Linked DNA regions of Mus musculus: regions 2, 3 and 4 are each reported to be linked to region 1. The links are microRNA targets in miRTarBase. Many come from high-throughput screens and were not tested one by one. Region 1 holds a microRNA gene; each other region holds the end of a gene's coding sequence.

Region 1 (3,122 bases):
CTAAATGAGAAGTGACGACTGGTAGCAATTTCACGTGAGACCCACGTTGCTGGGACCGCACAGATAGTGGCAAAGAGCCGTCCTCACTGGGGAGTGCGGGTCTGGAGCAGCTGAGCCTGTAGCTGACTAACGATTTATTTCTCTTTTCACATATTTCCTGCTCACTTCATGGCATGCTGGTTGCAGGGGAAGGTAAGTGGCTGCCTCCTTGCTATGGGGTCCTGGGGGCCATCTGCTTCCTGGACCTGCCCCTACACCCCCTTTCTCCCCATTGTCAGGCCTTTATTTAGGAAGAAGCTGTGGTTTGGGGTGTTGTGCACCTCACACTTACATCCCCGATAATAGGAATGTTCCCTTTGTTCTCCAGTGACAGCCTCATTAAGGGTAAGAAATGAGTGTGGACATCAAGAACCCCACCACCAGAGAAGTTGGCACACTTGTCCAGCTTGGAGGAGCCAGCTCGGGGGTCAAGCACAGCCCACCCTGCCCCAGGCATCATGTGATGGACTTTTCTGTATCTGCCCTCTTGGATTAAGGAAGACTGAGACCAGCCCTTTCAGAGGCTTTCCTCCTTCCTGTGTTGGCTGGGAAGCGGGGTGGGACAATGTGATTTCTCCGTGATTTCCTACAGCCTTGAGCCTCTCCCAGAGTGGGGGAGATAACCACCATGCCAGGAATTCTCAATAAAATTTTTATTACTTAAAGCCAAAAATTTTGTGTCTGAGTGTGTACGTAGATTGCGCGAAGACATTGATCACACTGGGACTCGGCCAGCAGAGGGCACAAGCAGTCTGGCCTGTAGCATTCGGACTGCCGCCGGGTCCTCAACAGGACCTAAGCTGGGAGCAGCCGATCTCAGGCCCAACTACACCTTCACCCCACCCGCAGGTCTACCAAATGAACCCACAGACTTAATGACATCTTTTTAAAAGCTGAAGCAGCTGAGGCTTTGCTGAGCCAAACTAAAAACGTGATGACCCCAGGGGGAGCTGCTTCCTTGGTAACCAGCTCCTGGTTAGCTCCGGGAGATGGCGTGTTCCTCCCAAGGGTTTCCGTGTTCCTAAGTCCCGGTGTGCTGTTACTTAGTCACCAGGTACGATGAGCTATTTGCACTGAAGTTTCTCCCTGTGGAGGAGGCCTTCCCACCCCCACAGCCCGGGAGCCCAACTGAACCTATTTTCCACAGACTACCTTTCTTACGAAGACCGAGTCTCCAGTACTGGGGAAATCAAGCCATTGCTCACGGACTTCGCTAGAACCGTTGCCTTGGTTTTTTCCTTCTGGGCAGACAAGAATACAATAGAGGAAGGGTGAGCCTGACTGGGCGAGAGGGTGCAGCAGAGCTTCAGCTCCTTGGGTTCTTAGAGGAAGTAGGTCTCTCCTGAAGCCTAAGACAGACCACCGAATGGACCGGAATCGTATCCCACGTTCCCCATGGACATTCAGGTTCCCAGGGTGAAAAGACAACGGAAGCCAGCGTCTTGGGACCAAATGTGTTTCCAAATCTTGCTGCTGTTCTGAAGGCAGCCATTTTGTCTCTTTCCCATTGTTCCCCTTTGCCAAGTGATACACACACACACACACCCATCCAGAAGGTTAAAGGTCAGAGGCTGTTGGCCTGGAGGCCTAGGTGGTCTTCAAGGCTCCAAGGTCACTGCTGAAGGAACTGACCCGGGGGCCATCTTTACCAGACAGTGTTAGGAGCTTCATACTTCAACCATCCAACACTGCACTGGAAGATGGACCCAGAGCCAGCCAATATAAATTGATCTACCGCTGATCAAGCGCTAGAGGGAAGCCGCTGCTGGCTGGCTGACTGTGGCCTCTTGTGTGCGCGTAGACAATCCCAAGGCCAAGGTCTGCTTCTAGTAGGTTCTGGATCTACCAGATGACAAATCACACTGGATTGGAGGAGGGGCTGGGGCCATTGTGTTCTTCCAGTGGGCAACCAGCCAACCCGAGAGCCACCCTTAACTCGGAAGAAGGGGCTTCCAGGTTATGTGTGGGAGGAATGGGTTGCTGCCAGATAAAAGTGCCTAAAGCGATGGACGCGCAATGGACGCCGATGACACTGGGACAGGGGCCTCCATCATTACCCGGCAGTATTAGAGACTCCCAACCAGCACCCAAACACTGCTGGGTAAGACGAGGGCCCCTACCCAACCAGTCCACCTTCAAGATCAGCCCTGGCTAAGCCCAAGCCCCTCAAGAGAAGCGGCAGATCTCCTGCTCCCATCCCCCACCTCCGCGTCATTTGGGACACTTCCGGGAGAGCCTGGCTGCTCCCCACCAGGCCTACCCTGACTTGCCCATCACTGAGGCCAAAACCAGCTTTCTGTAGCCTCTACTATCCACCTGCGAGCCAGTCCCCCCCCCCCCATTCCACGGCCTGTCCCTGCCCTCCAACACACCCATTTACTGCGTTCTACCGTCGCTAGCGCAGCCCCAGGACCCCCCTGATCGGTGGCCTTTACCTGGCACCAGACCCGCCTGACCCCTAGAGTGGTGCAGAAGAAAGAAAGGTGTACCAACGGCCCGGATTCAGCCGCCTAGAGCCGACTTGGCCTCCACTCTCGCTCTTCCTCCTTCACCTGCCGGGCAGCACAGGCGCCTCACCTGGGCCCCGCCCGCCTCTGCCCTGCGCACAGGTGTGTCCTCCTGCCATAGGCTGCCCCCCTCTCCGCCTTAACCCCTTCCCTCCCAGCACCAGCCCTGGGCACCTCCTCTTGAGGCCTGGCCACCCCGCCAGGCCTCCCGCCCTTTCTGGCCGCCTTTCTTCTTCTACCTTGTACTTTCCCTGTTTCTAAAGGAATAAAGAAAGAGGCCATCTTTGGATCCCCTTCCAGCGGCTCCTTCCTCCCAAGCTAAAACACCCTCTTCTCTGAGGCCTCTCCAACCCTGCTCTCAGCCAGAGTCAGAGGACCAGCCCTGAGGTCAGTGTGGGGTCAGCTAGGCAGGCATTGGTCTGTGTCCCTGTCCAGGGCTCAGACAGGGCCGGGCAACAACCCCTTGAGAACTGGGAAGGGAGGAAGCCCCAACAGACCTGTGGATCGCCAAGCATTGCGCCGGATCTTTGGTTTTACCCTGAGATGGCAGTGTCTGCCTGGGCCCAAAGGCCTCCC
Region 2 (3,122 bases), not on the chromosome of region 1:
ATTTCTTCCTTACCATATGAGTACAATATCTAAGGGCAAACAAAATTGGCTCAAATTCAGACACATGAATCAAATAAAACATGCTTCTGGTAGTTGGAATGATACCTCTTTACAAAACAAAACAAAACAAAAAAAACAAACCACAAAGCAAATACTTTCTAAAATAGATTTTTATTAGGAAATATAAAATTTGGCAAATATTTTAAAAATTGTTATATTGTTAATATTTTAATAGAGAAAGCACCACATTAAAATACATTGATAAAATGATATACTTACAACATTGGTAAATTATGAAGTCTAACTACAGAACTACTTCTTCAGGGTCTTTAGGGCTGAGTCGTAAATATAGAGTAGTAGCTACATATAAGAATGCCCACTCTTATGTACACCAAATAAAATTGGGTCAAACTGGCCCATGGTGAGCTCCTTGCAACTCTGCTCTGAATGAATCTGTAGTATTTCATAGACCTAATCCACAAAGTGACAGGAAAATGGCATAGAGGACTTCTTTGAGAATACATTAATTTCTCAAAGACTATATACAACTTGTGTGTGTGTGTGTGTGTGTGTGTGTGTGTGTGTGTGTATGTGTGTGTGTGTGTGTATGTTGGGGGCAGCAAAGTTCAGAGAGTTCAATATAGGAGGCGGGGTGTGGAAACCAAGTAGGGATGGCGGGAGAACCTTGTGGCCAGATTCAATTTGATATGTTAGATAAGCATTTCAGCCATTTGTCCCAAGGGTTTGAGACTTTATAGTACTTAAGCTACTATTTTGCAGAGTGGATTTGAAGAAATGTGAGTAAAGGCATTTTCTTCTCTGAATTAATAAGTTTAGGTAGTTTTGCGAATGCTGTCTTGAAACAGCCACTTAAAAGATGAAAATAAACTTATATGTGACAGGTAGCCCTAGTTGATCTGGAATATATTATGTAGACTATTCTGGCCTGAACCTTGTGGTTGACTGATGCTCTGCCTCCCAAGTGCAGGAATTTCAGGGATGTACCTCCAGTAATACCCAGTGTAGCCCTGGTTGTCCTGGAACTCCTCTGAAGACAAGGCTGACCCTGAACTCTGCCTCCCAGTGCAGGAGGAAGAGGGTGCCACCACTCATGGTCCTACACCCAGTTCTTTTGCTTTTTTGTTTGTTTTGTGGTTTTGTTTTGTTTTCAAGACAGGGTTTCTCTGTGTAGCCCAGAGGCTGGCCTCCAACTCAGAGAGTACCTGACTTTGCTGGAATTAAAGGCATGCACCACCACAACCATGACCAGGTTTTCTTGTATTTGTATTCAAGCCTGAAAGTACAAAATTGCTGTAGCTCTAACAGCTCTACTGTAATGTTACTTGAAAATAGTGTCCAAGGGGCTGAGAGATAGCTCAGTGGTCAAGAGCACTGACTGCTCTTCCAGAGGTCCTGAGTTCAGTTCCCAGCACCCACATGGTAGATCACAACCATCTGTAATAGGATCTGATGCCCTCTTCCGATATGTCTGATGACAGTGACAGTGTACTTATATACATAAAATTAATAAACCTTAAAAAGTAATGTCCAAGAAGCTACTTCTTTGCTATCAATGATTTCACAGTAAAGATGTTTAAATAGCTGGTAGAAATTTTAGTGGCAAAGACATTGGAGTGCGATAGCATCTTTTTAAAAAGCTGCAGAAGGTATGTTACAATCCACATATCCTCACTAGACCTGCAAGACCTAATTTAAATTTAAGGGCAATACAGATTTCAAAGTAAACACATTTGCCTTTTAAACATTTTAGCTCAGAGCAGTTTAACATTAGCACCAAATATCTATCCATATAATTTCCATTTAAAAAGCTAGCAGTGTGTAAAACCTCGTGTTTTTCTGTACAATGGTTTAATTTAATATGTAGCTTTTAAATTCTGAAATTAAAAGGTCAAAGTTGTTAACTCAGTCTGTAAGCAACTGAAGAACAGGTGTATAAGAAATGTCTGACAGAACCCACCATCTAGTACAATGTTCTTTTATTATTTCCATTTTCGACATAAAACTCTCTTAAGTAGAGAAAACATGTATAACCCCCATTTCCCAAATACCTCCAGCTTTTCTTTTCATTTGGCAGTGCTGGGGACTGGCCTCAGAGTCTAGGTAGGCTGGGCAAGCATGGTCCCAGCCTTGGCACTTCAAGAGATCTGCTTGGCTCTGTCTCCTACCCGCTAAGATTAAAGTCATGAGCTACCATGCCAGGCAATTGTTTGAGACAGGGTCTCATACAGCTCAGGCTGGCCTCAAATTTTGCTATGAAAAACAGAATGGCTGGACTCCTGACACTCCTGTCTCCACTTCCCAAGTGCTGGGACTACAAGTGCACTACCACAGAGGGTGCAGCTCAGCACTCAGGATGTTTTCATAATTCAAAGCTAACACTGATTTTATATCTTAGGTATTTCTATGGCAATAAATCACCTAAAGTTGAAAACCAAATTATAAACCCACTACACACACAAAAAGGATAGACACGAGTTTTTAAAATCAAGTTAATAGCAAAACTGCCATAGAACAATATACAGTACATGTGATGTTACAATTTTAGTTTCAACAATTCTATTAAAAAACCAATAGTTTCTATTTATTCTGAATCAATAAATTATTCACAATTAAAATGTTTTCATAAATAGTAACAACAGATGTTGTATAAGGTATATGAGATTTTTTAAAGAGTTACAAATACTTCAGGATTGTATTTTTCAAGTAGTTTTTTCATTACTGAAATGTATCCACAGTTTGTAACTGACCCGTAACACTGGCAACACAGACTAATTTGGCAACAATCAAGTATGTAGTGCTGTTTGCTTGTTTTTCACATCATCATTGGGTAAACTCTTTTTGTAGGAAATAGGATGTTATACAATACATCAATCCAATTAGTTAGCATATTTATGAAGGAAACGTTCAAAGGCATCGTAGATGGCTTGTCTAAAATGAAATGTAAAGAATTAGTCATTAACAAATATGGGAAAGGGCAGACAACTATTATATTTCTAAAATTATCTCTGATTCCAACTATCTGATAAAATGTGCTTCTGATATCCTACATCCTTCATTCTCTAGAGGACAAAATAGGACAGTACATGAAGAAACAGCTCAGT
Region 3 (3,122 bases), not on the chromosome of region 1:
ACGTGTTTTGTTGGCAGAGGGACATCGGTTAAGCCTTTTGCTCAGACAGCACTGCTGATGCTATGGCACCTGGCCTTAAACACATGTCACTTACAACCTCAAAGCCAGGCTCCTTTTCCTATGCGCCCCCAAGTTGGTGTGTGTGGATACAAGGTGCTCCCCAGCTCCTGTGGCTTATGTTCTCATCTATTCTGAGGCTTTGGAGATGGGTTCGTGTGCCTGCTGTGATCTGACCCACATTCCTTCACTGGCAGGTGCTGCAGGCCCACGGCTCTTTACCATACACCAGATTGATGCCTGCACGAACAACTTGCCAAAAGCCCACACTTGGTGAGTTATTTTTGTAGCTTTTCCTCTGTCATTCTCGGTAAGTTTTTGTTTAAAAGAAATGATGAGCACTTCTTTTAAGTGATTTTAAAAGTGAAGTTATTCAGAAATCAGTAAGCAAACCCCAAAGTCGTGGCCTCTGCTTTAGAGGGCTGCCCTTCTACCTTCCTGTATGACACGAAGCCTATGTAATGCTCGCCTGCTGTACCTGCTGACTTGTTCTGAGCGAATGATCAAGGCTGATTTGCTTATTTACAGCTTCAATCGAATAGACATTCCACCCTATGAAAGCTATGAGAAGCTCTATGAAAAGCTGCTAACGGCCATCGAGGAGACATGTGGCTTTGCTGTGGAATGATGGGCACCAAGGACTTACCTACAGCTCTTATTTATTCCCTGGCCAACAGCCTCCTTCAGCAGCGCTTCAGAGAACGCTGGGATACAGGACAGCCTCCTCCCCTGTTCCTTAGATTCTAGGACACTGGGAGGGGAAAGGACAATTTTGAAATTCCTTTTCAAGGAAAAGTAAAGGTCTTTATGCTTTGCCATGAGGACACACTCAGCTGCTATTTAAAAATTAATACCTTGAACCTAAAGAATGCTGACCCCCTGCGTCTCCAGAGTTAGGCAGTATTCTACACTTAAAAGACTACTACTATTTTTATACAAGGTTATCTCCCCAAATTGCTTGTCAGACTCATGTCTCTCCCGCATAGCAAGACAACTCCAGCAGTCGGTACAAGTCACACTTCATTTTGATTGAGTACATGATTTTTGAACAACTCCTATACCTGCTCTTTGTAAGAAATTAAATAAAGTTATTTTGGATTGTTCCACCTTTGTAAACAATTGGCTAAAGAGGGATCATTACCTTGATGAAATTAAGCCATTTACATGTTTAGTTGTGTTTTTCTATAGCAGAGTGTTATATTTTGCATTATGTGGGTCACCGTAGCTTAAGTGGGGTTTTATATTTTTCAAGTGTGACTTTCTTGGAAATTCTTAATGCAGCCATTTAAACAGTTTATTTGCTACCCTTCCTGTTTTTAAGATGACTTAAAAAAAAAAAAAAGACCTCATGTTCTTGAATCAAGAAGATCAGGTATTTTGGATTTACTTTCATCTTAAATTGAAATACTGCATTTTTATAGCTTCTCAGTATGTGATGGGGTGGATTTTCATTCTTTGCTGGGTCAGCTTGTCTTTTATATGCTATTTCTATAAACCAAAGTCTCTAATAAGTACATCTAACTTATATTTTAATTAAGTTTCTAAAAGGAAAATTTTTGCTCTAAAAATCGTTTAACAAGTTTGAGAGCCCTGCTTTTACCTCATTGGTTGAGCTGGAGGTGGTAGTGGGCATGGTGGGCCAAGAATGTCATACATGCATGACGTCAGCTGGGCTGACCATGCCCGTGATCCTGGCTCCTGGGAAGCTAAGGCAGAAGGGCCAGTTCAAGTTTGAGGCCAGCCTGAGCGACACAGCAGACCTTGCCTCACATAAGAGTGACTCTAAGGCAGTCGTATAATTTACTCTAGAACTAAAGAGTTCATGAAGTGAGGGACTGGAGGCCAGGCTGCCACACTGCTGACTTCAAGTGTGGAGGTTACGCTTTCAAGGTGTGTGGCCCATCCTGTGATCTAGAAGGTAACAAAAATTCTGGGGTGAGGGGTTGCAACCATTTAAAAAAAAATCACATTGGATTTTAAAATTCAACCATCAGAACAATGCACTATTATTTTTAAACATGGATGTGAAAGAAGAATAGCAGATTTTGCTGAGCTTGGCACAGGGCCATGAGGAGCACTTGACAGGAAGTGTAACTCAGCCTGGTGGCCGACACCCGTGATCCTGTCACTGGGGAGGCAGAGGCAGAAGCGTCAGCATGCCAAGGCCAGTCTCACCTACACAGTGGATTGAGGCTTCCTTGAGACCCTGTCTCAGAGGACAGGGATGCAGTGCTAAGGAGACGCTGCTTTCAGTGGTTTTCCATGCAGTGTAACACAGGCAAATCCCACTGCTTTCTGAGTGCCTTTTAACTTTATTACAGTGACTTGACAGAGCTTTAGAGGAAACTGCCCTATGTAACGGTCTTCAATAGCACAGACATCAAAAACATGGTTTAGATTTCGATTTCAAAATTACATTACCTGATTACTTCCAAATAGGTGCTAAGCAAACAAAAATCCCCAGTGTCACAGAACCTGGACTTGCCTTGTGTTTAATGTGAATATTTATCTGTCCCCACGTCGCCTGCCTCCAGGCGCTCTGTTCCATCAGGAAAGCTTCATTCTGACCAATGGTTCCCTGTGCTCACATGCAGTAAGAGGCCACTATTTTCTGGCACAAAGTTTTAAAGCAGTGCTGTGTATCCTGTACATTTGTTTTGCAGTTTGTTGCTCTGTATTTTACAGTGCTCTCCCCACCCCACTCACATTTACAGGCCAGAGCACAAATTTCTCTTCTCCTAAATCCACTATAATTTGCTTTCCTAGACAACACTAAATCTGCCCTGAGCTTGCAGTGCATCGGACAGATGGCACTGGTGGGTGTTAGCCGCTTCCAGTGCCTGCAGGGTCAGCAGCACAGCCTCGCCCTTCAGCTGCAGCTTACGGTCGGGGCCACGTGTGGTGGTTAATGTTCTCACACTAGGATGATGATTGTACCAAATGCTGAGTTGCTGATTCTAGATGTAATTAGTTCACTTTATGTAATATTCTCCTTTTCTCTAAACTGACTTTAAAAGCAAAGTTTTATCATTTCCATTGTATTTATTACAGAATGTTTTAGCCTT
Region 4 (3,122 bases), not on the chromosome of region 1:
CAAAGCCAATGTCATCAATGGAATTCTTATGACGGTGGTCTTTTTCATCGTGCGGATCATTTCGATACCTCCGATGTATTTCTTCCTTTACTCCGTGTACGGAACAGAACCCTACATAAGGTTCGGATTTGTAATCCAGTCTGTCTGGATCGTTACTTGTGTTATTTTAGACGTGATGAATATCATGTGGATGATCAAAATCACGAAAGGATGCATCAAAGTCATCTCCCTCATCAGACAAGAGAAAGCCAAGGATAGCCTTCAGAACGGGAAACTCGACTAAAGGCATGCTTCATCGGACACCTTGCTTCCATAAGCCATCTTCATTCCTCTTTGTCCCGGCCGACACGATGAGCTCCTGCGCCGCTCTGTTAGGCACGGTTGTTACTCATGGTTTCAGTGTTCTTTCCTCTTTTCTTTAATCTTTAGACAAGAGAAAATAAAATTTAGTCTTCATCCCAGGATTTCTTCTTTCCTTCAATATTTTTAAGCATGGATGGAAACTGAAAGGTTTAAACAAAAGTTGTAAGTGGAGTGGGGAAACTTTTCTGAATTCGTCAGTGTTCATGGGGATTATTCTCTGCAGGAAAATGGCTGGTGATTCGGTGGCCTTTGTACACCACCCATTTTATTTTGCTGAAGGACTGAGAACGGCTTTTCAGTCTGCGAGCAGCTCCGTTGGCTGTGCTCCGGTCTTTTCCAACATCAGAGCCTGTGTAGGGTTTCCTTTCTAAGTTGCCAGCACGTCCCTTCCCCAGGCCATCAGAACTGACATGGTTTCATGGGGGTATGCAGTCATCTGTTACGCTACGATAGAGCACTTCTCATGTTGATCCTATCATATTTGAAAATATTTTATGCATTTTTAAGATTTCAGCTGCTTCGTTTCTCTCTGTAGTGCTTTATCCAATTATATTTTGAAAATCTTATAGTCAGGCAAGGTTTAAGACCCATCTTGTGGACCACATGAATGCCGATAGTGAGGACTCCCGGGAACGTGCCTCATCACGCTGCCTTCGCCTGCTTCCGGGTACTTTCCCCATAAAGATCATATTTCTTCTTGCAAAGTTTTCCAAGTTCCAAACCTGACACCAGAACACCAGTCTTGTCTAGAATGTGCGCGCTGGGCATGCTCCTGAAATCGGCCTCATTTTGGTGAGACTAAAACTACAGACAAGTCAGAGTTTGTGCTTTACTTAGAGATTTTACTCAGGCTTGCTTAGTTTGTCTTTGCCTTTTTGTTTTCTTAAAGAGCAGAAGGAAGGAAGGTGACTTACCCCAAGTATTCTGATTATCAAAACTGTCATTCATTGTGAAAAAAAAATCGTGTGTGTGTGCGCGTGTAGTGGGGTGTTTTTCCTTTGATTCTTGCAATCCAAATATAGAATTATATATTTAGCTATTATTGCCTTTATTTATTTTTTTCTGAAGTACTTGACTTTAATGATTGTTCTTAAGATATAGACTTAATCCAATTAGTGGTGAATACTTGAATTTAACTGAACTTAAACCAAAAGATCTAATCCATTTAGAGTATCAGACTGAAGGAGAACGTTTGGCTCTTTCATTATTCATCTTAGGCTGATGAACTAATGGAATGTCATCAAAACATTTAATGTAATGTAGTTTGATTTAATTGTCTAGTACAGATAGAGTCTGGCAAGTTCTGGTATGTTTAAAGATGGGAATTGAAATTCCAGTCCAATGATAAAAATCAAGTCGATTGTCTTGTTCTTGGTGTATTTACTTTTGAAAGATAAAGTCATGAAAAAGATAGGGCTTTGTCTTTAAAGCAGCTAATGCCACATTTGTAATGGCTTGCTAAGTTTAGTGCTGTCTCCATCATAGGCAACTCAGGTGTGCACTGGTTGTGTAAAAGTGAAGGTATAGGGATGCAAATGATTTTATATTGTTCATGGCTCTTTTACAAGAAAATGGGCTTTTTTTTTTTAATGGAGAGAAGACATTTATATTATAAAACTATTTTGGAAATCCACTAAGAAAAGAATAAATCTTGAGGTAAATATGTTTGTCTCTTTGGCTAGTACTACAGTTCTGAACGCAGATTTTAAACTCGCCATTAAAATGATGGCAGTGTATGGTTATGAGTCTCTGTGAAGGCGATAATTGCTTCATGCTGAAAGGGTCATTTGTATTTCGTTGCTTTTATCATTACTCGATATAACCAATAAGTATGTTCGGAATATCAAACATTAAACCCAGATTTGCCATTGTAGCCCTTATTATCTGCAGCTTCCAGACTTCCACTCTCCTCATCCTTTATAGAAGGGAACTGTGTTGGAAATGTCCTGCAAACTGCCACTGCAAGCCAGCCCTCCCCTGGGGCTGTATTTTGCTGTTTTGTGATCACATTTATCAACCTAAAATACAAATAAAGACAGAACATAGTATTTACTAAAACAATGAAATTTTCATTTATTGAATGACAAATTTTTGCTAGATATTTTAGATATAAGTATTTTGGCTACATTGATTAATTTAAGTGAGTCTATTAGGCATTCTGATATTTAACAAGTCTTAAAATATTTATAGAAAATAAAAGCAAATTGGTATAAATTTTTAAGCAATTCTATTTTTCTAGAGAAGATTAGTGACAATCTGAATATGTAGTATTCTAGAAAATAAACTTTAAAAAAAAAAAGCAAAACTCAACTAGTAGCATGCAAGACTGTGGGCCCTGCACTTGATGGTATGTTATGTGCTAGACTTGAGGTATTTGGAGCTTGGGTTCATAGAATTTGCATTCTTGTGTCTAAAATCATTTGGAGGATTCTTTGCATTTTTTTTTAAATTCAAAATGGAGTTACATATGCATGCAAAGAAATTAACTCAAGGTACCCTGGTGTGTTGGCTTTTCAAACTTGAAATGGGTATTTTCTATTTTGTTTTGTTTGTTTCCTGTTGTTTCGTGGACCAGTTATGTGTCCAGAGGAATTTTGGTAGGTTTTACCATCTCTGAGAGTCACCCTGCTTTATTTTGGATAAACTGGGTGCATAGGTTTGGAAAGTTGCCTAATTTATAGGTATTTGGATGAAATTCTTCCATAAATTTTAATAATTTGCTTAAGTCCAAGTTTCTGTTCAAGTGTCAGATGTGTAAA

Evidence for each region. The annotated mature microRNA mmu-miR-141-3p reads UAACACUGUCUGGUAAAGAUGG and lies in region 1 at 1,679-1,700, opposite strand. An mRNA with a match to its seed (bases 2 to 7 or 8) in the 3' UTR can be bound and repressed. Matches are read on the target gene's strand: a 7mer-m8 pairs with bases 2 to 8, a 7mer-A1 pairs with bases 2 to 7 and ends in A, and an 8mer does both.
Region 2: the mRNA of Abhd18 is a reported target of mmu-miR-141-3p. Seed matches in the 3' UTR shown: 8mer at 2,772-2,779 and 8mer at 2,395-2,402.
Region 3: the mRNA of Smurf2 is a reported target of mmu-miR-141-3p. Seed matches in the 3' UTR shown: 7mer-A1 at 1,249-1,255.
Region 4: the mRNA of Tlcd4 is a reported target of mmu-miR-141-3p. Seed matches in the 3' UTR shown: 7mer-m8 at 398-404 and 7mer-m8 at 559-565.

What each region holds. Positions count from the first base shown.
Region 1 is chr6:124,716,239-124,719,360 of GRCm38, forward strand. Mir141 (microRNA 141) reads right to left here and starts at 1,747; the gene lies at 1,676-1,747. It overlaps Phb2 (prohibitin 2), which reads left to right. Exons shown (of 10, transcript NM_007531.2): 9 at 187-192; 10 at 368-707. The coding sequence ends at 395. Mir200c (microRNA 200c) reads right to left here and starts at 2,152; the gene lies at 2,084-2,152.
Region 2 is chr3:40,935,169-40,938,290 of GRCm38, reverse strand. Abhd18 (abhydrolase domain containing 18) reads right to left here. Exons shown (of 13, transcript NM_026622.4): 13 at 153-2,949. The coding sequence ends at 2,898. Among named protein-coding and RNA genes, the nearest start is that of Larp1b, 14 kb to the left of the region's middle.
Region 3 is chr11:106,820,228-106,823,349 of GRCm38, reverse strand. It overlaps Smurf2 (SMAD specific E3 ubiquitin protein ligase 2), which reads left to right. Exons shown (of 19, transcript NM_025481.3): 18 at 255-330; 19 at 586-3,122. The coding sequence ends at 685. Among named protein-coding and RNA genes, the nearest start is that of Cep95, 33 kb to the right of the region's middle.
Region 4 is chr3:121,204,313-121,207,434 of GRCm38, reverse strand. Tlcd4 (TLC domain containing 4) reads left to right here. Exons shown (of 8, transcript NM_001355678.2): 8 at 1-3,122. The coding sequence ends at 283. Among named protein-coding and RNA genes, the nearest start is that of Rwdd3, 34 kb to the right of the region's middle.